4 linked regions of the Sus scrofa genome follow. The protein of the gene in region 1 interacts with the protein of each later gene in a biochemical or structural test. Links are inferred from orthologs where the notes say so. Each region holds a gene or a part of one and is shown in the gene's direction. Other genes may lie near its edges. The genes, in order: EIF4E, EIF4EBP3, IPO8 and EIF4G3.

Evidence for each region.
Region 2: the proteins of EIF4E (region 1) and EIF4EBP3 form a complex in vitro, tested with the Homo sapiens proteins (2 studies listed by IntAct, with this or other methods). The link is inferred for Sus scrofa from reciprocal best matches to the Homo sapiens genes EIF4E and EIF4EBP3.
Region 3: the proteins of EIF4E (region 1) and IPO8 form a complex in vitro, tested with the Homo sapiens proteins (2 studies listed by BioGRID and IntAct, with this or other methods). The link is inferred for Sus scrofa from reciprocal best matches to the Homo sapiens genes EIF4E and IPO8.
Region 4: the proteins of EIF4E (region 1) and EIF4G3 form a complex in vitro, tested with the Homo sapiens proteins (3 studies listed by BioGRID and IntAct, with this or other methods). The link is inferred for Sus scrofa from reciprocal best matches to the Homo sapiens genes EIF4E and EIF4G3.

What each region holds. Positions count from the first base shown.
Region 1 is NC_010450.4:121,435,768-121,443,247, forward strand, and holds part of EIF4E (eukaryotic translation initiation factor 4E), read left to right. Parts: intron 1-4,768; coding exon 4,769-4,875; intron 4,876-7,480. UniProt on the Homo sapiens protein: Acts in the cytoplasm to initiate and regulate protein synthesis and is required in the nucleus for export of a subset of mRNAs from the nucleus to the cytoplasm which promotes processes such as RNA capping, processing and splicing.
Region 2 is NC_010444.4:142,299,284-142,306,960, forward strand, and holds EIF4EBP3 (eukaryotic translation initiation factor 4E-binding protein 3), read left to right. Parts: upstream 1-4,597; 5' UTR 4,598-4,663; coding exon 4,664-4,766; intron 4,767-5,768; coding exon 5,769-5,942; intron 5,943-6,098; coding exon 6,099-6,127; 3' UTR 6,128-6,436; downstream 6,437-7,677. UniProt on the Homo sapiens protein: Repressor of translation initiation that regulates EIF4E activity by preventing its assembly into the eIF4F complex: the hypophosphorylated form competes with EIF4G1/EIF4G3 and strongly binds to EIF4E, leading to repression of translation.
Region 3 is NC_010447.5:43,110,974-43,118,453, forward strand, and holds part of IPO8 (importin-8), read left to right. Parts: intron 1-1,110; coding exon 1,111-1,267; intron 1,268-4,368; coding exon 4,369-4,527; intron 4,528-5,477; coding exon 5,478-5,634; intron 5,635-7,480. UniProt on the Homo sapiens protein: Involved in nuclear protein import, either by acting as autonomous nuclear transport receptor or as an adapter-like protein in association with the importin-beta subunit KPNB1.
Region 4 is NC_010448.4:79,069,751-79,077,230, reverse strand, and holds part of EIF4G3 (eukaryotic translation initiation factor 4 gamma 3), read left to right. Parts: intron 1-1,364; coding exon 1,365-1,511; intron 1,512-1,933; coding exon 1,934-2,170; intron 2,171-3,843; coding exon 3,844-3,948; intron 3,949-6,461; coding exon 6,462-6,594; intron 6,595-7,480. UniProt on the Homo sapiens protein: Component of the protein complex eIF4F, which is involved in the recognition of the mRNA cap, ATP-dependent unwinding of 5'-terminal secondary structure and recruitment of mRNA to the ribosome. Functional homolog of EIF4G1.

The sequences.
Region 1 (7,480 bases):
ACCTCCTATTTATTTATTTTTATTTTTTATTTTGTTTTGCTTTTTTCAGGGCCAGGGCTGCATTTGCAGCATATAGAAGTTCCCAGGTTAGGGGTTGAATTGAAGCTGCATCTGACAGCCTCTACCACAACTACAGCAACACAGGATCTGAGCCATGTGTGTAATGTACGCAACAGCTCATGGCAATGTTGGATACTTAACCCACTGAGCAAGGCCAGGAATCAAACCCACATCCTCATGGATACTAGTTGGGTTTGTTAGTGCTGAGCCACCACGGGAACTCCCTGACTGAATCCATTTTAAACATCCCGTGAAAACATCTGTTAGGGGTTTTCAGGGAAAATTTCATTAAGTTGGTGCTGCAATTACCACATAATCCTCCTGAACCTATTTTCTGGTGATCCTGTCTTAGATACCTCAGTAGTCAATAGCCTTAGAAAGAATTTTAAGAGGAGACATCCAGCTTACATTAGAAGTACTTAGCTGGAGTTCCTCTGTGGTACAGTGGATTAAGGATCTAGCGTTGTCACTGCAGTGGCTTGGGTTGGTGCCATGTGCAGGTGCAACTCCTGGCCTGGGAACTTTCACATGCTGTAGGTGCAGCCAAAAAAAAAAAAAAAAAAAAAAAAACAAGTGCTTAGCCAATTAGGACAAGTAATGAATAATTTGGGGATTTGTTACAGTTAATTGAGGTATATGCTTAACTGATTAACTGAGGAATGACCTGAAAATATTTTTGTTACGGTTCTTTTAAAAATATACTTCTGGAGTTCCCGTCGTGGCGCAGTGGTTAATGAATCCAGCTAGGAACCATGAGGTTGCGGGTTTGATCCTTGGCCTTGCTCAGTGGGTTAGCGATCCGGCGTTGCCCTGAGCTGTGGTGTTGGTCGCAGATGCGGCTCGGATTCTGCAGGTGGCTACAGCTCCGATTCGACCCCTAGCCTGGGAACCTCCATAGGCTGTGAGAGCGGCCCAGAAAATGGCAAAAGGACAAAAAATAAATAAATAAAAATAAAAGTATACTTCTTCATTCTTACTTGGCGTATGTCCATAATTAACATCTTTTCTTTTTTTTAAGGGCTGCACTTGAGGCATGTGGAAATTCCCAGGCTAGGGGTGTAATTAGAGCTGCAGTTGCCAGCCTACTGCCTGCCTACACTCTAGCCGTAGCAACACCAGATCCGAGTTGCGTCTGCGACCTATACCACATCTCATGGCAGTGCTGGATCCTTAACCCACTGAGCGAGGCCAGGGATGGAACTTGAGTCCTCGTAGATACTAGTTGGGCTTGTTGCCAATGAGCCACGAGAGGAACTCCCTAAAAGGTCATTTTTGATCGAAAAATTTAATGCATCATGGCCATCTTTCGGGAAAGTACTTCTCATTGTATGTTACCATAAATTCCAAAGATAAGGGATTGGAATTTACCTATAGAATAGCCAACTGCCATGGATTAACCTGAGAGTTTAAAAGAACATCCTACATGGCTATTACTTTTGCTTTATCTAAGTTGAAAATAATGAAGAAAGCATCTTGATTATTTGTATCAGAGTCAAGAGGTTTTAATAATAAGTTGAGAGAAATTACCGAAATGATTTTGTAATGAGGCCTTTGTCAATAGTCTCAAAAAATTTCCTTTGTGAATTTTTAAAAATATATTTTGTATATTTACAACATAATTGCAGAATTAAGATGCATACAGAGTGAATGATTGATGGTAAACTTTTTGGTGTACAATTTCTACTGATTAAGAATGGATTGTTGCAATAAGTAGATGGCCATAGCAATATATGACCTGAGAAAATTTGTACTCGGGGGGCAGTATGCAGGAGCTGTTTTTTATGTGCTGCTGAGGTAAAGATGTAAACAAATGCTGTGAAAGAGTAGTTTGCCATGAGAATCTTGAGCTTATGAGTATGTCTTTTAGTTAAATAAGAGAATTGGCAGTATTTCTTAACTTTTCCTGCGCTTTTCATTCTTTTTGTACTTCCATGCTTTCATCCGGGAGCTTTTCCCTCTAACCTGAGACTTTCTTTAGTGTTCCTCTTTTTGGACTTTCTGGTGTTGTGCAAATGTTTCCTTATTTCTCTATTTCTGGAGAATAACTTTTCCTAGGCACTTAATTCTAAGTTGACAGTTTTTTCTTTCAGCATTGAGATGTTATTCTGTTGTCTTGTGGCTTCCAAAATTTCTGTTGAGACGCTACCAGTTATTCTTATTGTTCCTTTGGAAGTGATATATATATTTTTTTCTTGGCTGAACCCATGTTGTGGGAAGTTCCTGGCCAGGGATCAAACCTACACCATAGTAGTGACAATGCCAGATTATTAACTGCTAGGCCATCAAGGAACTCCTAATCTCTTCATCATTAGTTGCTGGTAAAAACAAAACAAAACAAAACATTATTTGCATGTCTAGTAATTTGATTGTTTGTTAGGTCTTACGAATAATATTCATAGAGCCTCAGGATTATGTTTTTCCTCTGAAGAGTGTAGAGTTTTGTTCTTGAAGACAGTTAGCAATAGATTGCCTTGATCCTGCCAAGGATTAGTTTTAGAATCTGTTAGGTATGTGTATTTCACCTAATTCCTAGGACATGACCTTTCTAGGATTTCATCTGAAACCTGAGGATTTTCAACCATCCACTCTGGCTAGGTCTGAACTTGGTCTTCCTAATGCTGTTCATCCTCTGAAATCTTGGCTTAGCTGTTCTCTGGTAGACCACCCAGAATTGCACTCTGAACATCTCAGTTTAGGACTAAGTCACAGCCAAGGATTTGTGGGGTTTTTTTTTACCCCCCCATGTGTTTTTGAATTTCTCTCTACAGTTTACTTTTCTCTGGGACCCTGTTCCCCAAATCCACCTGCCTTGTCAGTCCCTTACTGTTCCTTATTGTCTCTATTCATTCAGACTGCCTCTGTGTGGAGACCATCATTAATTTTAAGCTAGTAGAGTAAGGAATGCTATTTGGTAATGACCATCTACTTGAAGACTTAAATTGTGATGAGAAAATGCTTGTACAAATGGTTGCTAATTTTAAGGCATTGGCTACTACTATATGTAAATTTTAGGGCCTTAACTAGTCTTCAGTAAACATTTAAGTTTATTCAGTTAAGTTTCTGTTGAGTGTAGCATTGTGATCATTGACATTACAATTGTGAGCAAAATCAAGATAAAGCCCCTGCTATGACTGACTTTATAGGATAGTGAAAAAGTAGTTCCTGGAAGTGTCTTGTTGATAAGAAAAATGTATTTTATAAAATGTGTCTTCTCTGAGGTCTTTTGTTTTTGTTTGAGGTCTTTTTTTATTTTCTTCTTTTTATTTATTTATTTATTTTTTTGTCTTTTTCTAGGGCCACACCTGTGGTATATGGAGGTTCCCAGGCTAGGCGTCCAATTGGAGCTGTAGCCGCCAGACTACACCAGAGCCACAGCAACTCGGGATCCGAGCCCCGTCTGCGATCTACACCACAGCTCATGGCAACCCCAAATCCTTAATCCACTGATTGAGGCCAGGGATTGAACCCGAAGCTCATGGTTCCTAGTCGGATACGTTAACCATTGAGCCCTGACGGGAACTCCCTGAGGGCTGTTTTTAGATTATACATCTCTGATTTGCTTAGTGTTGTTAATGTGACAGTGTATCTATTGTTTTGCTGGCTTGATTTGAATCTGATATCCACACCCTTGTTGCAGTGCCCCCGTTTTTTGTATCAGCTTTTGTTTCAGCCCTTTTCTTAACCACCTTTTTGTTGATACCAGCTTAAAATAGGTTAAAGAACTACGTGGAGTGATGTGGAGAACATGTCTTATTCCCACGTTTCTTTTTTTTCTTGACATTTTTAGATGACAGTATTATGTGTAACCTAGAAGAAGATTTAAGTTCAAGCCAATGTCTAGCTTTTTTCCTTAGGGCAAATTGAGAAAGAAGTTGCTGAACTTTTAAGTTACCATGTGTCATAACGGTATAACATGAAGGCAAGGACCTGTGTAGTACTGGCTTGATAAAGTTTTTTTTTTTTTTTTTAAGTCATTGTAATATAATTAGTTGCACTTCCAAACTTAAACCCCCTCCCCAGAAAGCATGCATAGCACTTTAATTGTATGTTAAGAAAGATACCTGATTTTCCCAACTTTTTTGCATGGTCTCTCACAATCTTTTTATTTATTTATTTATTTTTTGTCTTTTTGCCATTTTCTTGGGCTGCTCCCGCGGCCTATGGAGGTTCCCAGGCTAGGGGTCTAATCAGAGCTGTAGCCACCGGCCTACTCCAGAGCCACAGCCATGCGGGATCCGAGCCGAGTCTTTGACCCACGCCACAGCTAGCTCAACGGCAACACCGGATCGCTAACCCACTGAGCAAGGCCAGGGATCGAACCTACAACCTCCTGGTTCCTAGTGGGATTCATTAACCACTGAGCCACGACGGGAACTCCTATCACAATTTTTCTGATATTAAAATGTGTAAGAAGATAACAGTATATGAAAAATACTATCATTATATTTTTGAATTAGAGAAACTAAACTCTTTGCATCTCAGTGGAGAGATGCCAGAATGGTCTGGTGCCTTTTTTTTTTTTTGTCTTTTTAGTAATGCTTTCTTTAGAGATTGTCTGTTTAATCAAAAGCTTTTGCTGTAATTCCTTCTCCTTAAAAAAATGATATGGACAATATTGGTTCAAATTTATTTAGAGTTATTGCTGTCATATAAATTAAGAAATTTATTCACGTTAAAAAATTTATAATGTTTAATTATTTTCCAACAGGAAACCACCCCTACTCCTAATCCCCCGCCTACAGAAGAAGAGAAAACAGAATCTAATCAGGAGGTTGCTAACCCAGAACACTATATTAAACATCCTTTACAAAACAGGTAAGTTTTTTGACAAGTAGGTTTTCTGACTTAGGCAACAAAGTAAATGGTGAATGGGACAGGTTTGGAGGGAAAGATTAGATGAGAATAGTTTTAGATAGGTCGATTCCATTTTCATTTGGATGACCCATGTTTACCAAGTAGTTTTATTTGTGAATCTTGAGCTCAGAAAGTAGGACTTTGAAGTATTGGTTTGAAATTCACTGGTTATTGGTAACTGAAACCACAGTAGTAAATAAGTTCTCTTAAGTGAACTTGACTCACAACGGAGGCTTAGAATATTAGCACATCGGCGGGTGGGGGGGCAGTTTGGCTGCACCCACAGCACGTGGAAGTTCTCAGGCCAGGGATCAAACCTGAGCCACAATTGTGACCAGAGCCACATTGATGACAAGGCTGGATCCTTAACGCACTGAGCCACAAGGGGAACTCCACATAGGGTTTTTTTTTTTTGTTTTTTTTTCCTTCTGTCTTTCTGTCTTTTCTTTTAACTAACCCGAGGCATGTGGAGGTTCCCAAGCTAGGGGTCTAATAGGAGCTGTAGCCACCGGCCTACACCACAGCCACAGCAACGCCAGATCCGAGCCATGTCTGCAACCTACACCACAGCTCATGGCAATGCCAGATCCTTAACCCACTGAGCAAGGCCAGGGATTGAACCCACAACCTCATGGTTCCTAGTCGGATTTGTTAACCACTGAGCCATGATGGGAACTCCCACATAGGGGTTTTTTTGAGCAAAAATGCCTATAAAGGGTATAGACATATAAACTGTATAAAGTAGGACAGAGTGTGCTGGTCAGGAAAATTATTTTTTTTTTTTAAGGAAAAGATGGTCAATAACTTCAGTGCCACAAAAGAGTCAAATATTCATTGGATTGAAGGCCAAATCCTTGCTAGTGTTGGAGAAAGTTTAGTAGGTGGAATAAGATTGGAGTACTTTGAAGAGTGAATAGAAAGTATACTAATGTTTACAGCAGGAATAGATGGTTTCAGGTTAGCCTGTGAAGGAGGAAAGAGAGCTATGGAGTCTGGAGGTGGGTCAGTTTTTATTTAAGAGAAGTTAAGAGAAGAAAAGAGAGTTTAAGGTGAGGTAAATTTTCATAGTTACATTGTAATATAGTTCAGTATATGGTTTTCTCTGTCTCCACCCTGCCACTTCCCAGTATGTGTTTTTATTTAATTTTCTTTCTGGTTTATGTAATGAAAATTAACTGAAGTCACTGAGAGCTGATGGTGGAAAGAAAATGGCAACTCAGAAACATTGTAAGAATCTGGAGGAAAGTAAATTGGAATTAACTTCTGAGGCTTCTTAAGTACTACAGCTCCTTTCATTTCCTCCCCACCACCAGGCCTTTTACTCTCTTTACGTAAGATCCCACAAGTCTGGAGTTCCGTTTGTGATGCAGTGGAAACAAACCCAACTAGTATCTATGAGGATGTGGGTTCAGTCCCCGGCCTTGCTCAGTGGGTCGGGGATCTGGTGTTGCCGTGAGCTGTGGTGAAGGTCACAGATGCCACTCGAATCCCTCATTTCTATGGCTGTGGTGTAGGCCAGCAACTGTAAGTCCAATTTGACCCTTAGCCTGGGAACTTCCGTACGCCGCAAGTACAGTCCAAAAAACAAAAAACAAAACAAAACAAAAAACACCCACAAGTCTGTATATACTTGGTTTAATTTATCTGAAAAATGTGTTGTCCCTTTATGGCCCATATATATATATATATTTTTTTTTTAAATCATTTCTTCACTATCATGGTAGACTTACTGAACTAATAGTACAAAAATGTGTAAGTAGTTTTTTCGTAGAAGACCCATGGTTCTGCAGATCTATTTTCTAAACAATAGGAATTGTCAGCTAGTGAGTAAGTTATCAAAGGTCCAATAGTCCATAAAGGATAAAAAAAAAAATACTGCTTCAGGAAAGCATTGTGCCAGAAGTAGTAAGTTGAACAGTTGATTAGTGGCAGTTTCATACAGTTCAACCTAATAGCAGTACCAAACCCTTTAAAGTTTTTTTTTTTTTTTTTCGTTTTTTTCATTATCATTTAAAAAGCTGTGTCTTCTGATTGTGAACACAGTTCTTAGTGTTGTTATTGTGGGGAGAAGTAATCAAGGCATGTATACTCCTCATAAATTAAATGAATTTTGACAAGAGATTCCTGAAAGGTGTCTTCTTCAGTGAACAAACTGATTAAATCCTGAAATGAAGTCTATGAGGATTTCAGTTTTCTCTATAAATTTTATTTCTTTAATATTTGGAAAACCATTCAAAGATATTATTGGTTCAGATTTTGGTAGTTTTGTCATCATTATTTTTTGTAAATACTGCAGAATATATTATGTTTTCTTTTTAAAAACCCTGTAATTATTACAGGAAGGATTAAATCATTGGGGTACAAGGTATATAAAGTAAAAGTTCTGCTTTCCTCTTATCTCTTCTTCCCCATTTTGTTTTTATCTACACCCCAGAATAGTGTTAAAAGTTGGTTTGTATTTTCCTAAAACCTCAGTATGCATGTCTCTCTCTCTTTTTTTTTCCTTTCACTTTTTTTGGGGGCTGCACCTGTGGCATTAGGAAGTTCCCAGGCTAGGGGTTGAACC
Region 2 (7,677 bases), on another chromosome or scaffold:
AATTATTGGAAGAGCTCTTAACCCTATCTTCTATACCTTGAGGACAACAGAATGAAATTTTTTATCTCAGGAAAGGAACTAGACAAAAATAAAAAAGAGGAGGAATTTTGAGAAACCTCTAGGAGGATTAGGAAGAAACAGGAGCTGTGTCGTTTACAGCAGTTATTTAGGATACCCTCCTTTCTGCCCCTTTACCAGCACTGCCTCCTTTTCTTTCTATTTGAATCCCAGTAGCCTACTCCCCACTCCATTTTGCCTGCTATAATCTCTTCTTCCTCTGTCTTGCCTCTTCTTGGCATTACTTTACTGCTATTTTACCAACCTGAACCTTGGATTAAACCTAGCTCAGGTAAGAACTCAATTACTTTCAAAATATACAAGGGACTGCGGGTGGGGGGGCAGCATGGTTAGAGGGGAACAAGAGTCAGAAACCTAAATTCTATTTTCCTCTCTGCCACTTGAAGCTATATGACCTCAGCAAATCATTTCTTGTCTCTGGGCTTCACTTTCCTCATCTAAAAAATGAAATTGAATATAAATTGAACTCAAAAGGGTCTCCTAGTTCTAACATGTTTTCTCCTTTGTCTTGTGCATGGTATGGGAATATGGTATGGGAAAAATAGAAGCCAAAAGAATGGTTCACATTGCTGAGGTTTAAGAGCCCCTCCCATTTGTTTTCACATGGAATCAAAAGCCTGCTGTTGTAAGGGCCATTATTGACTTTAGGATTTTAGTGGAAACAGAAGAAAACCTCATGTGCACCCATAGTGAGCCCTCAAGTCATAAAGAAAATCCTGCCGAGGCACAGATAAAACCCCTTGAAAAATAACAGCTCATTCAAGGAATAAAACTGTATCATCAGGGAGTTTCCATTGTGGCTTAGCAGGTTAAGAACCACACTAGTATCCATGAGGATTTGGGTGCAATCCCCTGGCTTTATTCAGTGGGTTAAGGATCCGGCGTTGCCACAAGCTGCAGCATAAGTCACAGATGCTGCTCGGATCCTGTGTTGCTGTGGCTGTGGCATAGGCTCCAGCTGCAGCTCTGATTTGACCCCTAGCCAGGGAACCTCCATATGCTGCAGATGCAGCCCTAAAAAGAAAAAAACAAACAAAGCCTGTGTCATTAAGGTTTCTAGACCCACTTATTTCAAATAGTGTTCAGTGTAATAAAATTTCACCACCAATAAAATCATTGATGTTTTTAAGACCCTTTAGACCTATTGTGGCTACAGTGTGCTGACTTGCCCTTTTATAGGCCAGTCTGCTTCCTTCAGTCCCTGCTCTCAAAGGGGAAATCTCACCACCTCAGCTATCCAGACCGAAGAAGAGAGTTGGACAGCCAATGGTGGCCTCTCCTAACCAGAGGTAAGAAATCTCAGGACTTGGGGAGTTCCTGTCATGGTTCAGTGGTAACGAACCCGACTAGTATTCATGAGGACGCAGGTTCAATCCCTGGCCTTGCTCAGTGGGTTAAGGATCTGGTGTTGCCATGAGCTGTGGTGTAGGTCGCAGATGCAGCTCGGATCTGGCGTTGCTGTGGCTGTGGCGTAGGCTGGAAGCTGCAGCTCAGATTCAACCCCCAGCCTGGGAACCTCCTCATGCTGAGGGTTCAGCCCTAAAAAGACCAAAAAAAAAAAAAAGAAAGAAAGAAAGAAAAGAAAAGAAAAAGAAATCTCAGGACTTGGAAGTACAGCTTCCATCTGTTCTTATAGATTCTGGCCAAATTCTCCTCCCATCCTCAAAATTAGTATATGAGAGGACCATCCTTAGTTTGGGGTAGCTTTCAGAAGGGGAAAGGCTGGTCACATTAGAGTTTCAAGCCAAACAGAGAGGCGTGCTTAGAATGCGTGGTCCTGGCCCCCTGTTTAAGACCTTTGTACCACACCATAGACCCAGGAAGAGGCAAACAAGCTGTGGGAAAACAGCTGCTGAACAGCTTGTTCTCTAACTAGCCTTAGAGCTTTTCTCTTCTACAAAGAAGTGTGGCTGGTCGTGACATCTTCCCAGTGGACCCTGTCCTGGGTGATGTGTGACCATGTGTCAATGTTATTTGACAGGTTACTTTACCTTCACGCTCTGCTGTAGGAAACAGGTGAGAGAAAAGTGGTTTTAAGTGTGTTAAGACCGCCTTCAATAAAAGGCAGGAGCTTAAGCTTAAAAACCTAATTTGGAAAACAAGCTCATGAATCTGATCATCAGATTGCAAATGTATTTTGTGATTACATTTCACCTCTTTCTCTTTCATCTTGATGGTACTGGTGGCAGAGACCTGGTTTTCCCTTACAGGTTCAATCAGACCTTTGGGGTTGGGAGCTGCGCGAACTTTTTTTTTTTTTTTTTTTTTTTAAGCTCCCATACTCTAATGAGCAGTCACTGTCAAACAACCCTCTGGTTTAAACTCCTGGTCCTTCATCTGGGTTGAATGGACATGAATCTGGCTTTCTCTCTAAAGCCAACTACCTATTCTCTAGTTCCCCAGCCCTTACGGCACACAGTGTCTCAAGAAAAGTAAGCTTCCAATAGAAGGCTTATAGTAATAGTAACTGCTGCTGTTGTTTCATAGTAGCGGTTAAGAGAAGAGAGACCTCACTTCCACACTGATCCTTCTGGAAAAGCTTCGTCACTTCTCTCCTAGTTCTGTTCTCACTGGTGTTTCTCAGTCTCTTTTGGTAAAATCCTCTTTCTCCACTCTTCCTTAAATAAATGTTGATGTGCCCAGGCCTCTTCTTTTGGTGTATCTTCTCCCCGGGTAATCTCTTCCCCTGCTCTTGGATTTCACTCCACCCAAATCTGAACCCCTAGCCCAGACTTCTCCCTCCGTAGCTTCAGACCTGTATCATTAGGTTGTACCAAGCCTCTCAAGTCAAGTCTGGGAATGATCCTAGCTGACAGGATGTTAATCAAGCACCTTATCCTTCCCCCTCTGTGTATCAGGGAGTTTGCACCTTCATTCTCATTGTCCTCCATCCCATCCCCCATACCCCCTCACTAGACTACTTACCTTGCTTAAAAGTTGAGTTAGCAGGAGTTCCCATTGAAGCTTTGCAAGTTACAAACCTGACTGGTATCCATGGGGATTCAGGTTCGATTCCCTGCCTCACACAGTGAGCCACAAGCTGAGGTATAGGTCACAGACATGGCTCAGATCTGGCATTGCTGTGGCTATGGCGTAGGCCAGCAGCTGCAGCTCCAATTAAACCCCTAGCCTGGGAACTTCCACATGCTGTGGGTTCGACCCTAAAAAAAAAAAAGAGAGAGAGAGAGAGTTGAGTTGGCAGGAGTTTTCTAGTGGCACGGCAGGTTAAGAATCCATGTTTTCACTGGGATGGATGGGTTGCTGCTGTGGCACAGGCTTGATCCCTGGCCCAGGAACTTCCATGTGCTGTGGGCACAGCCAAAAGAAAAACAAGGTTGGCAGAGTTTCCCGGTGGCCGGCATTGTCACTGCTGTGGTTCAGGTTGCTGCTGTGGCTCTGGTTCAGTCCCTAGCCTGGGAACTTCTGCATGCCAAGGGTGAGGCCAAAAAAAAAGGTTGAGTTGTCATAGATAGTTCCTCACCATCTGATCCCAAGCCTTACCTTCCAGTATTGCTTAGACACTTCATTTAGGCACACACCACTTTGTAAGAGGCTCAAGTCCTTTTTGGAACAATAAAATATCCATGTCCTTGCTACCTGATTCTAAGGACCTGCAGACCTAAGGGCTGCATCACCTGGGATTTTATGAAAAACCCAGAATCTCAAGTCCCACCTACTGTGTCAGAATCCTCATTTTAACAAGATCTTTAGGTAATTCATGTGCATGTTAAAATTTGAGAAGCACTGATTTGTAAAATCCAGTCTTTTTTTGAGGAGGCCAAATATCAGACAACTGGATCAAGTTGAGGCTTTTAGTGTATATAAATACTAGACTTCGTACTTACTTTCCCACCACCTCTCCTGCCTCTTTTCATACCACTATGCCTACATCGAAAAGTCTTCTCTTTAAAGGCCAGGTTCTCTGACGTTACTTTTCAGCGAGCTAAAGACCAATCCCTCCTCCCCAGGCCCCTCCATCCCGTATAGGCTTTATTCATCCTTTCATCAGTCCAGAAAGGCCACCCTCCCTCCCGGGGCTTCCCTTTGTGCCAGGCACCAGGCCATGGGGCCCTCTGCACCCTGTGGGATGGCTGATTAATGGGAGGCAGCACACAGCTAAGCTGAAGGGCATACGCTCGAACCAGATACGATCAAGTCTGAATCCCAGCTCACCCTCCTAGTAGACTTTGAAACTTCTCTGGGCTTTGGTTTTCTCACTTGCAAAACGAGGCTCATAGCAGTGCTTTACTGTTTAAAGCAGTGGGTGAATGAACACGAAAACACAGAGCGCCCTCTGCAAATGGTGAAGAGCTGAGTGGCTGCAGTGCTGCTAGGCAGGCGGGCCAGGGTTGGGCCAGGAGAAACTGAAGGCCAGTGCGAGCTCTGGGCCTCCTTCCCACCGAGCTTGGGGCTTGCTCCCGCCAGAGGAGGGCGGCCCCAAGGGGCTGAGTGACAGCTGCCCCGCCCCGGGCGTGACGTCCCGGTGTTGCTGCAGCCGCACGTGGTCGACTGAGTCCGCCTCAGACTGCTCAGCGCTCCACGTCCTCAGCACCAGCCGCTTGGCTTCCTGCTCGTCTGGCTCACTATGTCCACATCCACCAGCCGCCCGATCCCCGGAGGCCGGGACGGGCTGCCTGACTGCTACAGCAGCACGCCGGGGGGCACGCTATACGCCACGACCCCGGGAGGTCAGCGGGCGGGGCCGGGGTCTGCAGGCAGCGGGCAGGCTGGCGTGTGCGTGTCTCGCGATGTGGGTGGGGGGTTGCAGGCCTGAACTTGTCCGCGGGCCCCTCTACAAGCTTTGCTCCCCGGGACGGGGCCGGGGGTGTTGCTTGGAGCTGAAGCCCATTTCCCTAAAACTTCAAAGTGATGCAAAACCGCCTTGAGCCTAGTTTCTGGGTGACTCTGGGCAGAAACATCCCTGTGGACTGGGTTCCGAGTTCCCTGCTCACCTGCCAGTCCTAACTTTGCTGCCTGGGAGCAGAGGCCCCAACTGCGTGCAGCAGGAAGCAGTCAGGTCATGCAAAGCTGCTAGAGCAGGACTTTGGCAGTCGGGGGCAGGGGCTTCAGGCCTTGGTGCTGGGGGACTTGCTTGTGGCTGATTGGCCTGGAGCAGCCTGGGATCACGCCTTCTCTGGAGTTCCTGCCACGCGGAAGCAAAGGGGAGGGGTGAGAACAGGATAGGGCCCTTTGAGGACATGATTCAGGCCAAGTTCCTCTAGGCTGGGCTGAGCCTGATAGGACTTGGGAGGGGTCAGGATAAGAACAGCGTGTCCCTGTTTCAAAGGAGCGGCACTGCTCCTCCCAGCAGGGGATCCACAAGCCCAGGGGGCAGCGCGAGCCCTCACATCTGCTGTTTGGCTTCCTGGTCCACCTGAGATAAGAAGGCTAGGCGAACCAAAGCAGTAAAGTTCCAGAGTCAACAGCAGGACAGAAGTAGCCTGAAGTACCTGAGATCAAGTCGGGTGCTCCCAGAACGGAGGCCTCAGGCTCCGGTAAACCAAAAGCCCCTGCCTAGACCAGCTGGGATGCCCCCTTGCCCTCTGGTGCCTAGACACATACTGCTTAGTGCAGTAGACCTTTACCAAATAGGATTTTCTAAAGATCTTGGTCCCTAAAAGGCCTGTCTGCAGTTCCAGACAGCTCTGTACCCAAACGCCTGCCTCTCAACCGCCCTTACCCCTTGACAGGCACCAGGATCATCTACGACCGAAAGTTCCTGTTGGAATGCAAGAACTCACCCATTGCCCGGACACCCCCCTGCTGCCTCCCTCAGATTCCCGGGGTCACAACTCTTCCAACAGCCCCATCCTCCAAGCTAGAGGAGCTGAAGGGGCAGAAGGAGACAGAGGAAGAGATACCCGGTAAGGAAAACAGGCCCTCAAATTAAGAAATGGCTTTAAGTCACATGCCCCAGTTAAATGGAGTGGGGGCTCAGTTCTGAGCAGGCCTCTTGCACTGACAGGGAGCCTGCAGACCCCCAGCCCAGCACCCAGTCTTCCTGCCTTTTCTCTCTCCAGATGATGCACAGTTTGAGATGGACATCTAATCCAGTGCAGATGGCCGTGTGTGGAGTCGGAAGAACCCCTCATGCTGCTGCCGCTACCTCCTTTCTTCCGGGGTATCCAGAGGCCAGATGGCCTCATCTCATCCGGAAGGGGGTGACTTCTTGGTTCTGGGCCTCCCTTAGTTCTGAGGCAGCTAGACTAGGGATGAGGAGTGGGCAACCTGCCAGGCCCTTAGCTCAACTTTCTCTTTGGTCTGTAGGCTCTCATCCTAACCTCTGGCCCTTGGCTCAGGCTGGGACTGGGGGGTGGAGAATGTCACTTTCTGACTGCTTAGTAAACATTCAAAGAAATGCCTTGGCTCCACTGTTCTCCTCAATGTTGACCTTCCCATCTCAGACATGAAGCTGAGGGCCCCAGCAAACCTGCTTAGGCTCAGAGCTCCCAGGTCCCTTCCCAGCCCTCACTGGGCCCACTTCCAGCCATGATTAGAGCCTGAGAAGGCTTTGGGGGCAAGCCATAGGAGCCACCAAATCATCAACAGCAGTAGCCTGACCCCTGCCAAGGGGCTGTCCCAGTCTTTTCAGGAAGCAGCCTTCTTGGAATCAGGCCTCCGGAGCAGTACCCCTCCCTCCCTATTCCAAAGCAGGAAAAGAGGTACTGTCCCCAGCCTATAGCATTCAGTGGTCTCTCCCAGACCTCTGCCTCCCACCTGTAAGCAGTCTCCCTTTTCACAGTAGGACAGGACCCTCCTGGCCCCTTCCACCTCGTCCCGTTGTCCTTGCAAAGTTAGAAAGCAGGGCCCAAACTGAGGCCGCAGCTTATCTGGTGAGTCAGATAGAGCCATGGGGGGAAAAAAATCACGATCCCCTATCTCAGCAATCTGGTCTTTCAAACCTTCAACTTACAAAGCTATGTGATCTCTGCAGCATTTGCATACCTCAAGGGTAATGAAATAGAAACAGGGCAGTCTCTTTTTTTTTTTTTTTTTTTTTTTTTAAATCTTTAGGGCCCTGCCTGTGGCATTTGGAAGTTCCCTAGGCCAAGGGTTGAATTGGAGCCACAGCTGCCAGCCTACATCACAGCCACAGCAACACCAGATCCAAATGAAGTTTGCAGGAGTTCTTGTCGTGGCTCAGTGGTTAACAAATCCAACCAGGAACCATGAGGTTGCAGGTTCAATCCCTGGCCTCACTCAGTGGGTTCGGGATCTGGCATAGCCACGAGCTGTGGTGTAGATCACAGACGCAGCTCGAGTCCTGCATTGCTGTGGCTCTGGCGTAGGCTGGTGGCTACAGCTCTGATTAGGCCCCTAGCCTGGGAACCTAACTCAGTGAGTGAGGCCAGGGATTGAACCTGCATCCTCACAGGCACTATGTCTGGCTCCTAACCTGATTAGCCACAAGAGAACTCCCAATCTCCTTTTAAAAGAAAAATCTCCCCATGTTATTTGAGCCTGTTCTCTTGCTGAGACAAAATCATCCATAGGGTTATTCAGCCCAGCAAGGGATGTGCGCTCCCATCCATTTGGGGAAAGTGCCAGGAAGTAACAGGCTGGTGCCGAGCCAGGCCATTCATGATGGAGGAAGAACGG
Region 3 (7,480 bases), on another chromosome or scaffold:
GACAAAAATTTCTGTTTTCTTTCTTAGCTCTGGCAAATGGTTAGATACTTGAGTTAAATGATTGAAGGAAGATTTTAGATTATTGGTAGAGTTTAAATTATTTTTGGTATTTTTCCTTTATTCTTGGTAATCTATGGTTATCCATAAGAGTAATTAATATTTTCTTTTCAAGTTATTCATTTCAGCTTTAACTAATCAGCGGTTTATTTCAACACATACAAATTTGTAGTGTGCCTTTTATATAGGCCATCTGATATGGTGTCCCATAATAAAAATATTTTTTTAGTTATAAAATTAACAGCATTTGATGACTGAATTATGAGTTAAGTCCATGATTTTTATCTTGTCTGTATCTTTGCTGCCTGAAAAAACAAAACAGACAGAACAAAAAGAAGACAACTAACCATAAAACAGAAATCACACTATTTTTCACACTTATTTTTATTTATAAGACTAGTTCTGTAGGGATTAAAATGGTTTGGTGTATAATATGATTTTTCTTTTTGCAAAGATTAATTTCATGAAATTAGTCAGAAGTGCTGACAGGTTGGACCATATTCTTAGATCATTTATTCATTTTTTCAACAGTTTATGTGTTTTTATTACCAGTGACTAGTATATAATAAAAATACTGAAGTAAAAGATGATACTTAGTCTAGAACCTGTTTGATCTGATATAAAAAAAGACAAAACCCCAAACTAACTAATTCTCTCTCTCTCAAATAATTTTTGTTTTTCAGTATTAGGCCTTATAAATAGTATGACTCATGATCTCAAAGTGCAGTTTGCAGTTAGTAGAGTTTCGTTTAGATCATCATGTATTTAGTCTAAAGATACATACTTGAGTTCTAGATCATTTTTCTGTATATAAACTCTTGATTTAATACGATGTTTTCTGCTTCGACTTACTTTACTAGCGAAAGAGAAACTTCAAATTTATATGTATATTTCTTTCCCCACTTGGCTATTTATAACTGGAAGATTTTCCATTTTTGCTAGGTATCATGTTTAGCATTGAAGGGTTTAGCCTTTCATGCTCTGTAAATCTGAATGAAAGCCATTTTTTCAATACTGCTACATTAGCATTTTTTTTTTTTTTCTCTCATTTAGCTGCCATTTACTTGAAGAACATGGTGACACAATACTGGCCGGACCGAGAACCTCCACCAGGAGAAGCAATATTTCCATTCAACATTCATGAAAATGATCGCCAGCAAATACGTGATAATATTGTAGAAGGAATAATTCGGTCTCCAGATTTAGTGAGGTACATTATACTATATCTATCTGATTAGTAGGGCCACAAAATATATCAATGAGGGAGGTTGGATTTAATCATAGGCCTCAAGTTTGTTTTGTTAAAGATACAAAGTCATGAAGATGGGCACTCAGATAATACAGTTTTAGTTAGTTGTTTTTTTTTTGCATTTATAATTCTTTGTCTTAAAATAGTTTAGAAAAGATGTACTTGCTGTAAGTTGCCACAAAAAGTGTTACAGCAAAAATCAAATGGAACGAAAATCGTTGTATAGATCCCTACTACATTGATAACTAATGTACTTAGTTATGACCTTTAGATTTTTACCATTTGCTTCTCTTTCCCCAGATACAGGGAAAATGACTTCTCGGAATTTTAACCTACCACTTTTTGTAACACTTTACCTATTTTTTAATTCATTTTTATGAACTGAGTATCTTTTTCTTTGAGGAGAAAGTATAAATTAGAAGAATTATCTCTTGTTTTCCAAATTTAGATTAGCAGCTGTAGCACAGTACTGTCCATTAGAGCTTTCTGCAGTGGTGGAAATCTCTGTCCGCACTACCTGATACTTAGCCACGTGGCCTAAAAGCCAACTGAGTACTTGAAATGTGTCTAGTGTCACTGAGGAACTAATTTTTTTTTTTTTTTTTTTTTTTTTTTTTTTTTTTTTCTGGCTGCACTCTTGGCATGCTGAAGTTCCTGGGCCAGGGATCAAACCTGAGCCACAGCAGTGACAATGCCGGATCCTTAATCTGCTAAGCCACGAGGAAACTCCTGAGGGACTACACTTTTTTTTTTTTTTTTTTTTTTTGCTATTTCTTTGGGCCGCTTCCGCGGCATATGGAGGTTCCCAGGCTAGGGGTCCAATCGGAGCTGTAGCCACCGGCCCACGCCAGAGCCACAGCAACGCAGGATCCGAGCCGCGCCTGCAACCTACACCACAGCTCACGGCAACGCCGGATCATTAACCCACTGAGCAAGGGCAGGGACCGAACCCGCAACCTCATGGTTCCTAGTCGGATTCGTTAACCACTGCGCCACGACGGGAACTCCGGGACTACACTTTTAATTTAATTTTGACTAAGTGACAGTGTGCGCACATAGCTAGTGGCTCCCCTATTGGACAGCAAAGCTGTGAAGTCAGAAGAATAATGCAATTTTAAAATAGGAGAAACAAATTCTTTTCAACATGAGCAAGTGATTAGGTTTCTTTTGAAAATGGAGGAGGGAAATAATAGAAACCGAGGTATGGAAATAAAATTATTTAGTTTCAAGAACTTAGATGTATCTTTGTCTGTGAGTGTGTAATACACATATGCCCTAAGCAGAGGAAAGAAAAGGAAGTATGAGAGGGACAGTGAGGAAAGAGGACAAATATGGAACTCCTCTTTGTGCAGTTGTTTTGTTAAGAGGAAAAAATTGATGTCCTGGTGAAAGAAAAGCATCCTTATTCTCACTGGTTGCCCACATCCATTCTGGCACTGGCTTCCCTATGGTACCACCAGATATCCATTTCTTGTCAAAGTCTTTGCATTTCAGATCTCTCTGAATCTTGTAGGCAATGCTTCTACACAGTAATACATGAAAGGATGGCTGTTCACAGTTGTCCTTTGCTTGTCTTGGAATGAGAAAGGATTAAGAGGGTTAATCTGAAGATGAGATTAAATGAATGAAAAGTTTCAGTTTTATTGAATACAGATATTATCTACTGGTTGTTTAGGAACAGTTGCTGGTGGCACAAGAGGATATCTTTATTGTGATATTCTTTGTAGCTTTGCCTTTCTTACGTCTTGAAGGCTAACTCTAACCACTCTGGAAGAAATATTCTGAAAGTTTATAGAAGAGTATTACAAAGGATCTTTTGCAAATTGATTTATAACATAAGGAAAAAGGATTATTTGTTTCATTTCAGTGAATTCAAGTTATTCAACTGAACACATACCTTTTTCTTCTCACTGTGGATTTACTTTCTTACCATTTGCAAGTGACCATGTAAGGATATACTGATAATTTGTAGAAGAGAAATTTTTTGCCTTCACTTTCTTTTCAATCCCAGTTAAAATTGGGATCCAGTTGAAGAATGATGCCTGACCTGATGCATTATGTGATCACATCTTTTTTTATCACTTAACTTTGTAATTTTATTAAAGAGATGCCTTTTTTTTTTTTTTTCTGTTTTATGTCTGCCCTCTTGCTTTTTTCTTTAATTCTTGGGGAAAAACTCTTAGCTTTCCTCTTCAATAATTGCCAGCTAATGCTTATTATTTATACCCAACTTATAGAAATTAGTATCTGAGGAATCTCTGGTAGGTGTAGTATCCTGTATGGCTGGGAACTGACAATGAATGGTTCAAGCCTTGGCCTCACAGAGGTGCTTCTTGCTGTGATGTGGGCCTCCATTTTACTTTCTTTGACCGTTTTTAGTTGAAGTGATAAAACGTTTTTAGTTTTGTTTTCTTCTTAGGCTATGATAACCAAAATACAAAATATAATAAGCTGGGAAATTTTATAGAGCTGGGGTGGATCCACTGTTTTTTGAAAAAGTTTTATGAATTTACTTTTAAATTCTCTTTTTTTAAAGCAAAGTTGTATTTAGGATATTATCATTTGAAAGATGTCATTCATTTTAGGCAGTCAACCTTGGTGTTTGTTTTCTTTCAGTGAGTTTGAGCTACTGGGGCAGTTTTTCTTTCTTTTTTTAGGGGGGAGGGGCACACCTGTGGCATATGGAAGTTTCTAGCTTGGGTCCAATCAGAGCTGCATCTGCCAGCGTACATCACAGCCACAGCAACACCATATCCAAGCTGTGTCTGCAACCTACACCATAGCTCATGACAATGCTGGATCCCCTAACCCACTGAGCAAGGCCAGGGATAGAACCCATGTCCTCATGGATATTAGTCGGGTTTGTTACTGCTGAGCCATGACGGGAATTCCTGAGGAGGTTTTTCTTGATAGGATTACTCTTTTCCTTCCAACCCTAGATAGATAACTATATAATGTAGGTAAATGGGAATCAGAGTGTTTTTATGTAAAATATTAGAGGTCTTTGAAGCCTGATATTTATAACTACTTAGATTTTGGACTTTTTCCCCCCCACCTTATAGAGTCCAGTTAACAATGTGTCTCCGTGCCATCATTAAATACGATTTCCCTGGTCATTGGCCAGCGGTAGTCGACAAGATAGACTATTACTTGCAATCACAGAGCAGTGGAAGCTGGCTTGGCAGTTTATTATGTCTGTATCAACTGGTGAAGACGTATGAGTAAGTTGATTTCTGTTGGTTGAAGATACCAGCCATGTGTTACTTGGAAAGAATTACATTGCATAGAGGGGTCTGCTATGATTATTCTGCAGAATGATGTTAGTTTGGTAAATACAGTTAAACATGTTTATTTTCTACAGTTTTTCAAAGACTATTTAATCTGCTAATGTACTAATCTCTAAGGTAGTCCTTCTCAAATTTATTTGTTAGTCTCAGCTTTCCTTGGAAACTGATGGAGAGGTACCTTAACATTTGTCTTTAAGTGAGCATATTGTTAAGTAAAACAAACATTTACTTTTTTGGATGCAAGGTAAACAATGTTTAAGTTTCTCTGTTGGTGACTTTCTTTTCTGTAAAAGTTGTTTGGGAGGTGTGGGACTAGTGTTGCATTTAATAGCATTGCTTTCTAGTATCTAAGGGGATTGTTTTCCTGCAGTCGATAGTCTTCCTTTTAAAAGAATTTTTAGAGACTATTTTAGATGGATACCTAGTTAAAGTGATCTAAGAGCACCTAAATTTGTATACTGTTTTAACATCTCAATGTAGGAGAGTGGATGAATCAATGTTTCCCCCCGTATTATATGTTATATAATAGGAATGTCTTTTTAAACTGACATTCAACTTGTATAGGAAGGATTGTGATATGATGAAAACTAATTTCAGTACTAAAAAATTCATATAGGAAAGTTGCAAAGCTGTCTTGGATTTTTTTTTTAAACTAGTTTCTTTCTGGAAGGATTTTAGGTATTCTGCTTAAAATAGGGATGTGCTTTCTCAAAGTTCTTTTCATGTTTATTCTAACAATCCAAGTAGAAAATATAAGTCTGTGTTTCGTATGTTATTGTTTTATTAGCTTTATGTAGTTTAGAAAGTATTGTTTTTCATTCATTGTTTATAGCTCTTTTGTGGGGAGAAATTATTTTTCTCTCTTTTTGTCTTTGCTTGTGTAGATATAAGAAAGCAGAGGAAAGAGAACCTCTTATAGCAGCAATGCAAATATTTCTGCCTCGTATTCAGCAACAAATCATGCAGCTCCTTCCTGATTCCTCACATTATTCTGTTTTACTACAGAAGCAGATCCTGAAAATCTTTTATGCACTTGTTCAGGTAAGTTTCTATAGCAGAAGATGACTATGGTGCTTGTATTTCTGCCTGACACATAGAAAGTTCTCAGTAAGTGTCTGTTATTGTTAAAAATTGCACATTATATATTCTCACTATATTAAAAAAAAAAAAAAAATCCTTGTGAGAGAAGAGGCTTGCAGAAGTCAGCTTAATTGTCCGAGTTAACTGAGTGGCAGAGCTGAGATTCAGTGTTTGTTTCCCTTTCGTTCCAGTATCTGAAGTCTGAGTATGGAAGAAACAAGGTAGTCAGCTGCGCTAAAAACTGGTAATTTGACTAATTTGTCCATAGCATTCTGCCTATAGATTAGTTACGATTATAGGTAAATGGGAAAGTAAAGAAGAGAGCCCCCTTTAAAAAAATCTTCCTTAGGGAAATCACTTTGAGGCAGATGTTTTTGTTGTTGTTGTTATTATTATTTTTTAAATGGTTATTTCCTCAATACAGTTTTTTTTTTCTGCTGTACAGCATGGTGACCCAGTTACACATGCATGTACACATTGTATTTTTGCAATTATCATGCTCCATCATAAGTGACTAGACATAGTTCCCAGTGCTACACAGCAGGATCTCATCGCTAATCCATTCCAAAGGCAATAGTTTGTATCTCTTAACCCCAATCTCCCCAACCACCCCACTCCCTACCCCTTGGCAACCACAAATCTATTCTGCAAGTCCATGATTTTTTTTTCTGTGGAAAGAGTCATTTGTGCCTTATATTAGATACCAGATGTAAGTGATATCATATGGTATTTGTCTTTCTCTTTCTGACTTACTTCACTCAGTATGAGAGTCTCCATCCATGTTGCTGCAAATGGCATTATTTCATTCTTTTTGGTGGCTGAGTAGTAGTCCATTGTGTATATATACCACATCTTCCTAATCCAGTCGTCTGTTGATGGACATTTGGGTTGTTTCCATGTCTTGGCTATTGTGAATAGAGCTGCAATGAACATACGGGTTCATGTGTCTTTTTTAAGGAAAGTTTTGTCCGGATATATGCCCAAGAGTGGGATTACTGTGTCATATGGTAGTTCTGTGTATAGATTTCTAAGGTATCTCCATAGTGGTTGTACCATTTTTTATTCAGTGATATCTTTTGCCATTAGATATAGTAATACCCTATTTATTCAGTTTTTTTTTTTTTTTGTCTTTTTTTTGCTATTTCTTTGGGCCGCTCCCGCGGCATATGGAGGTTCCCAGGCTAGGGGTCTAATCGGAGCTGTAGCTACTGGCCTACGCCAGATCCACAGCAACGCGGGATCCGAGCCGCGTCTGCAACCTACACCACAGCTCACGGCAACGCCGGATCATTAACCCACTGAGCAAGGGCAAGGACCGAACCCGCAACCTCATGGTTCCTAGTCAGATTCGTTAACCACTGCACCACGACGGGAACTCCAATACCCTATTTATTCAAAGGCCAGAGTTCTCTTTCCTGTTGGGATAAGCATAGCCAGGATGAGGAAGTTAGAGGCTTATGAAATGGTTTTCTTAAAGCCTCTACCTCTATTTGGTTTGCTAAGAGAATAAGATCTAAATTTTTTTTTCTCTCAACATGTATGTGCTAAAAACCTAAAAAAAAATTAAAAATTCATTATTGTAAACCATTTGGTATTATGCTATATGCTACTGTAGCAATATTCTTCACGGGGAAATTTCGAAAGCTGTAAGAGCCACAGTTACAGTGATAATTTAGTAAAAAGTGATTGACAATTTGGGAAGAGGCAGAAACATTTATGTTTTAAAAAGTATGATACAATTTAATTGATTTTGTCTAAGCATTTATTAAATATTTATTGTGTACAAGGCACTTGAATGTTCCATGCA
Region 4 (7,480 bases), on another chromosome or scaffold:
CTCCAGCCACTCAGTCTCAATCAGCAGCTGTCAAAGTCCATTCTGGTTGATAACATTAACCCCTTTATGAGTATAAATACAGTGCATCCCTTTTTTTTTTTTTTTTTACCAATTTCTTCCATTAAATCTAGGGCAGGGATGTGCATTTCAGAACTTGGGGACCTCCTTTGTGATTCTAGAAAAATATTTTGCCATCTTATATACGGTGGCTGTTCAAAATGGTACTCAAGGGACCTTGTCTGTAAAATAGAATATTTTAGCCAATCACTGCTCCAGTCCACTGTCTTTATATTCTAAATAAGAACATCTCTGTGTTTGGTTATAAGTAATCTTGAAGATATGAGCTGTTGGGAGTTACTAGAAAGCAATTATTACTGGATTTGAATGGAAAAATCATAAGCATCTTGCCTATAGGTGGCCATCCTCCATTCTGAGTCTTTCTGTTTATCAAAAGAATGTTTCTAAAGTGGGCATTTATTAGACTGAACTATTAGAGAAGTAGTGTTTTCTTTTGGCACAGAAGAAATAATCAATAAACATAGTATATTTATAGTCAAGGTAAATACTAGCATTACAGTGTTATGCCATCTCCCTTGGGAAAAGATGTCTGGAAAAAGCCTCAAATGTGTCCCCCCCTTGTGCTTTTTTTTTTTCTTTTCTTTGTCTTTTTAGGGACATATCCATGGCACATGGAGGCTCCCAGACTAGGGGTCCAATTGGAGCTGCAGCCACCAGCCTACGCCACAGCCATAGCAACGCCGGATCCAAGCTGTGTCTGTGACCTACACCACAGCTCACGGCAACACCAGATCCTTAACTCACTGAGCGAGGCCAGGGATCAAACCTGCGTCTGCATAGGTACTAGTTGGGTTCGTTAACCACTGAGCTATGACAGGAACTCCTCCCCTTTGTGCTTTTTTCCACAATAAAGATCTCACCTCCAACAGTTTTCCTAGGGTCATGAAATTCCCCCATACTTTATTTTATTTTCATTTATTCCTTTAAACCAAAGTGCCTACACTGGTAGTAAGAAAAATAAAAGTAATAACCCTTCAGTTTTAAAAAAGTCTAGAGAGTACAAATCATAGTTGTAATAATATTACATTCAAAGGCATCTAGAGGCATAATCAGCTGTAGAGGATACAGTACATTTATACAACGTTTATCTTTTCTGTATAAAACTTAAAACATCTTAACCATTGAAACATGAAATTCCTGAAGCTATATTTCATACCTCTTACAGAGTGCTTACCTGTAGTTCAGTCAGCATTATTTTGCACAATAAAGAAAATAGGTATTTTGAGAAAATCATTGAATTTCTTTAAGTAATCTTGCTGCTTTTGCGTTTTCCCATCTGGATGCAGCTGAAAGTACCCATGGCAGACAAGCCTGGTAACACAGTGAATTTCCGGAAGCTGCTACTGAACCGTTGCCAGAAGGAGTTTGAAAAAGATAAAGCTGATGATGATGTCTTCGAAAAGAAGCAGAAAGAACTCGAGGCTGCCAGTGCTGTAAGTATTTTCACAGAAAGACAGTGTTATTAAATAGATTTTTCACAAAGCTTCTTACAACATCTTCTTACTACTTCAGCAGGTGCCTGTGGCCTTTTCTTCATGTGGAAATAACTTTATTGATGTTTAGAGGCAGCTTTGTTCCTTTTAGTGCCACATGTTAGAGCAACTCAACCTTTTAAGTTAGGGATTCAGAACCTAGATTTCAGAGAGGTCACTGAATTCGAGAAATCGCCTGAAATAGGTGCAGACTTTTGGGTGTATTTCATTTTCTGAGTAGGCCTGTAGCTGCTGTCATAATCTCAGAGTGTGTCCCTGATGCCTGGAAAGGTAGAGACCATGACTCTCTATGCGTGTTTTTAGCCTTTATTTTGCATACTGTTTTTATCATCAAGATTCTGTTACTCTTCCTTATGCAACAGCCAGAGGAGAGGACAAGGCTTCATGATGAACTGGAAGAAGCTAAGGATAAAGCCCGGCGGAGATCCATTGGTAACATCAAGTTTATTGGGGAGCTCTTCAAACTGAAAATGCTGACTGAAGCCATCATGCATGACTGTGTGGTAAAGCTGCTAAAGAACCATGATGAAGAATCCCTCGAGTGCCTGTGTCGCCTACTCACCACAATTGGCAAAGACCTGGACTTTGAGAAAGCCAAGGTGAAAACCCCAAATCCCAGAAACCTCCAGCAGGGACTCTGTCAGTTGCAGAAGAAGGAGACTGTCAGCAGCAGTGTCCCTATTTCCCCCGCCGTCTCAGCCTCCTGTTTGTCTTCTTTCATCCTTCTCACTGTCAGTGTTGGGCCATCATGCTTCTACCATATCTTCAGTAAAGTCAGACGTGAAGAGGGCCCCAAATTGTGTAAAAGCCAGTTCACAAATGGTTCAGAGTATCTGTCCCTTGTCCTTTTTCTGCATGACTATCTCACATATCATTTTGTATGTATAGGTAGAGTAAGTTGGCAGAAATTCTGGAGAGAAAAGCTACTAAGGGCCAGGACCGAGAATGAGAAAGAAATGAAGAAGACCCAGTAGCTTTTTTTTTTTTGGTCTGTTTGGGGCCGCATCTGAAGTATATGGAAGTTCCCAGGCTAAGGGTCCATTCGGAGCTGTAGCTGTCAGCCTACAGCACAGCCACAGCAACATGGGATCCAAGCTTCATCTGTAACCTACACCACAGCTCATGGCAATGCCAGATCCTTAACCCACCGATTGAGGCCAGGGGTCGAACATGCATCCTCATGGGTACTAGTCACATTCATTACCACTGAGCCACAACAGGAACTCCCAGGTAGCCTTCTTAAGTTTATGCTCTAGTTAATGACAGACGTATAAAACTATAATAAATCACTAGAGTTCTCTTATGGCGCAGTGCGTTGGGAAGCTGGCATTGTCACTAGATCAGATTGGGTCACTGCTATGGCTTGGGTGTGATTCCTGGCCTGGGAACTTCCACCTGCCACAGCCAAAAAAAAGAAATCATTAAAAATAATATAATTCAAACATAACATGGTACTCCCCAAATAAGGGGTAGGGAAGTTAGAAATCCATCAAAGAAATGTCACAAATGCTTCCTAACATCAAAATCCACTAGGATTATGTTTGGCTGTGAAAGAAAACCACAAATATCAATGTTTTATATAAGATTGAGGTTTATTTTTCACTCTCGTAAATGAATTTCACAGATAAGTCTGAGGCTGGTCTGATGGCTAAATATCAGTTCCTCCAGCTTAAATTCAGTCATCCCTAAGGTGTAGCCCTTGTCCTTCCTCATCTCACAGTAGAGAATGTTGGAAAGGGGCAAAGGACATAGTCACCCCTCTCTTAAGATTCCAGGGAGGTACAGTATGACATTTCCATTTATATTCTGTTGGACCTAGAATTAGTCACATGCCCATGGCCAGGTGCCTAGAATATGTAGCCTTTATTTTGGATGCCACGTTCAATTAAAAATTCCATCACGTTGCCTTTTGACTCTAAGTTGTACTCCTAGGTCCTTTTAAAGTTCTGCATGAGGAATTTGTAGCTCAGTGGAAACAAACCTGACTAGCATCCATGAAGATGCAGGTTCATTCCCTGGCCTTGTTCAGTGGGTTAAGGATCTAGCATTGCTGTGAGCTGTGGTGTGGGTTGTAGACACGGCTCAGATCTGGCATTGCTGTGGCTGTGGCATAGGCTGGCAGCTGCAACTCTGATTCAGCCCTTAGCCTGGGAATTGCCATATGCCTCAGGTATGGCCCTAAAAAGCAAAAATAGTAATAAAATAATATTCTACATGGTAAATCTACATTCGAATTCCTCAGCCAGGAATACTAATGATTTTGCTCTTTCAGCCACGTATGGACCAATATTTTAATCAGATGGAGAAAATTGTGAAAGAAAGAAAAACCTCATCTAGGATTCGATTCATGCTTCAGGATGTGATAGACCTAAGGCTGGTAAGTAGAAAAATAAGCCTACCACTCTCGTCTCTTTTTCATAAGTTGGCTATGAGGAATGTCCTAGTAATTACATGTATAATAACTTTTTTTTTCTTTAGGACCGTACATGCGGCACGTGGAAATTCCCCGGCTAGGGGTTGAATCAGAGCTACAGCTACCAGCCACAACCACAGCCACAGTCACAGCAACATGGGATCCCAGCTGCATCTGCAACCTACACCACAGCTCACAGTAATGCCAGATCCTTAACCCACTGAGTGAGGCCAGGGGTAGAACTCACGTCATCATTGGTGCTAGTTGTATTCCTTACCCCTGAGCCACCATGGAAACTGCCTGCACACATGTGTGATAACTTAATGCTTTTGCTGCATGACTCTCAGAACTTGAGATGGCAAATTTTCATGAGAGAGCTGTGTGAGAGGACCAAGGGCATACATACCTACCTGTCTGTTACTTGTTTCTCCTTTTGTTTTTTTGTTTTTGTTTTTTTTGTCTTTTTGCTATTTCTTGGGCCGTTCCCGCAGCATATGGAGGTTCCTGGGCTAGGGGTCTAATTGGAGCTGTAGCCACCGGCCTATGCCAGAGCCACAGCAACGCGGGATCTGAGCCGCGTCTGCAACCTACACCACAGCTCACGGCAACGCCGGATCATTAACCCACTGAGCAAGGGCAGGGACCAAACCCGCAACCTCATGGTTCCTAGTCGGATTCGTTAACCACTGCGCCACGACGGGAACTCCTTGTTTCTCCTCTTTATTCTGATTATCAAACCACATTGCAGTTTTGAAATCAGCCATTCTGAATTCAAACTGTGGTCAATAAAATTAGTCTTAAAGAGCTAATCAAGGAGCCTCATCTTCACAATGAATACATTTAACTTCCCTGAGCCTTACATTTTAGTCTTTAAAAAGGGGGTGTTGTTGTTCCTGTCTTGGCGCAGCAGAAACGAATCCGACTAGGACCCATGAGGTTTCGGGTTCGATCCCTGGCCTCGCTCAGTGGGTTAAGGATTGGGTGTTGCTGTGAGCTGTGGTATAGGTCACAGACGTGGCTTGGCTCTGGTGTTGCTGTGGCTCTGGTGTAGGCCAGCGGCAACAGCTCTGATTAGACCCCTAGCCTGGGAACCTCCATATGCCGCGGGTGTGGCCCTAAAAAGACAAAAGACAAAAAAATAATAAAATGGGGATGTTGCTTACTCTGGAGATATGATATAAAGATTCAGTGAGATAATTATGTAAAGTACCCAACTCAAAAGATGTTTTCTTTTTTAATGTTTTTCTTGTATACCCTCTTGTTCTACTGCCTTTTTTTTTTTTTTTTTCTCATTTCTCATACCAGGTACGGTTTATATACCACTACCACCTCTTTTCCCTTTTCCTGTTTTAACTGCCATAGGAATGCTGCAGCTGACCCTCAGCTAGAGAAAGTGAAATTAGGTCCCACCTATTCCCTGCCCTGCACCCAGACAGACAGTATGATGATGGTTCTTTATATTGCTAAGCTGAGGTGTGACTCAGGATCCTTCTTCTTAATACCACCACTGCCAGCTGATCTGAATTTAAATGCTGATTTAAAGCTATCTGCTATTCTTGCCTCAAGCTAATATTAATAAATATTAAAAACTTCTCCACCACCACCCATGCCTTCACCCACTTGTATTTATATCAGATGTGGAGATTACAGCTGGGTAGGGAAGGAAAGGGAGAAGTATAACTATAAGGAGACAGCCTGTTTTGTCCTCAATAGAGAGGATGACTAAAGGGTAGAGGGTGTGGCACTCTGTATAGAAACCAGAACCTTCATATAGGAGGACAAAAAGTGCTAGTCATCCTTGATTTAGAACTGCAGTGGAGTTTGCTGTGAACTGAGTGGCCTTACACCAGACTAAGTCAAGGCCGAGGAATCCTGATCTTTTTTGGGGGGTGGGCCTAGGCCCTCACCCGAAGCATATGTAGATTCCCAGGCTAGGGGTCGAATTGGAGCTGTAACCACCAGCCTGTGCCACAGCCACAGCAATACCAGATCCGAGCCACATCTGTGACCAAACAACAGCTGACAGCAATACCAGATCCTTAACCCACTGAGCGAGGCCAGGGATCGAACCCGCAACCTCATGGTTCAGGTCAGATTAGTTTCTGCTGAGCCATGACGGGAGCTCCCCTGATCTTTCTTGTTTCCTCTTCCCTCTACTCCTTTCAAAAGTGCAAAATGATTTTAATACGCACACACCCAGTTGGGTCAAGTCCCTCACTCTGTGTTGTTATCCATCAGCTGTTGGAAGACTCAGTATACAGTAGCTCAGGTTGATTGAGAAAAATTGAATTCTTCATCTCTAACACCCAGACTGCACCCCATGTGCCAATGTGTAAGACGGATGAAAAACTGCCATAGTACCAGATTTTGTATGTATCTTATACTTTTCCAGCAGTGGAAAGTATAAGATAGGTTTTCAAATGTTTCCTTTTTCTTCTTAGTTATCTGGCTGATAATCTTATTTTTTCCTTTTGTAGTGTAATTGGGTATCTCGAAGAGCAGATCAAGGGCCTAAAACTATTGAACAGATTCACAAAGAGGCTAAAATAGAAGAACAAGAAGAGCAAAGGAAGGTCCAGCAGCTCATGACCAAAGAGAAGAGAAGACCAGGTGAGGGATGGAGTCCACCAGGCATTAGAGAACTTGGGAGTTTAAGAGACAGATAGATTGAACCCGCAGAATAGAGAGGCAGTTGGTAAGTGAAGCAGCTTCACCTGGAGACTGGTTAGGAGTAAAAGCAGAGAGTATAGGAACTAAACATGATTTCTTTGACCACATCAAAGGCAGTAATCAACAAGACTTTGTTGAGCATTTTCTGTATACTCAGTATTGGTGAGAGAGAGAAAAAGAAGTAGAAGATGTAGTTCCTTCCCTCTAACAGCTTCCGGTTTATCTGACAAGTCAGAACTAATAGAGGGAACGTTTCAAGCAACTGGAAGATGAATTATGAAATGTATTCTCCACTAAGGCCGTTAAATTTCAGAAGACGAGAGATAGAAAGCTGGACGAAATTCTTATTTGAGGAAGGGGCAGTTGATCCAGGTATTGGTATTTGGAAGGGAAGGAAAAATTCTAGTCATGGAATTAAAATAATAAATAAGCCTGATTAGAGTAAAATTTAAGTGTTCATAAGGAATGGAAAAATGTTTTTTCTGAAAGAATGGAACCAGCTTAGAAACTTTTGGCTTGATTTGCCATTAAAGAGCCATTTTATGTTTCTGAGCAAAGGAATAATGTTATGCTAGAGGTGTGTACATAAAACCAGTCTGTTGCTCTTCACATGATGAACCAAGGGGTAAACTGAACTCAGAAATGTTGCTGTTGCTGTTGCCTCAGATCCTGTGCGGAAGGAGGTAAGATTTAGTCATAGAAGAATAAAAAGGAAGAAAAAAACGGGAAAGATGAAATAGAAGATACTTTACACCTGAGAAAATGGAAAGTGTGTTGACTAAGTTTAGGAATGTTGAAAGAGGAAGCCTTTATCAGAGAGGAAATG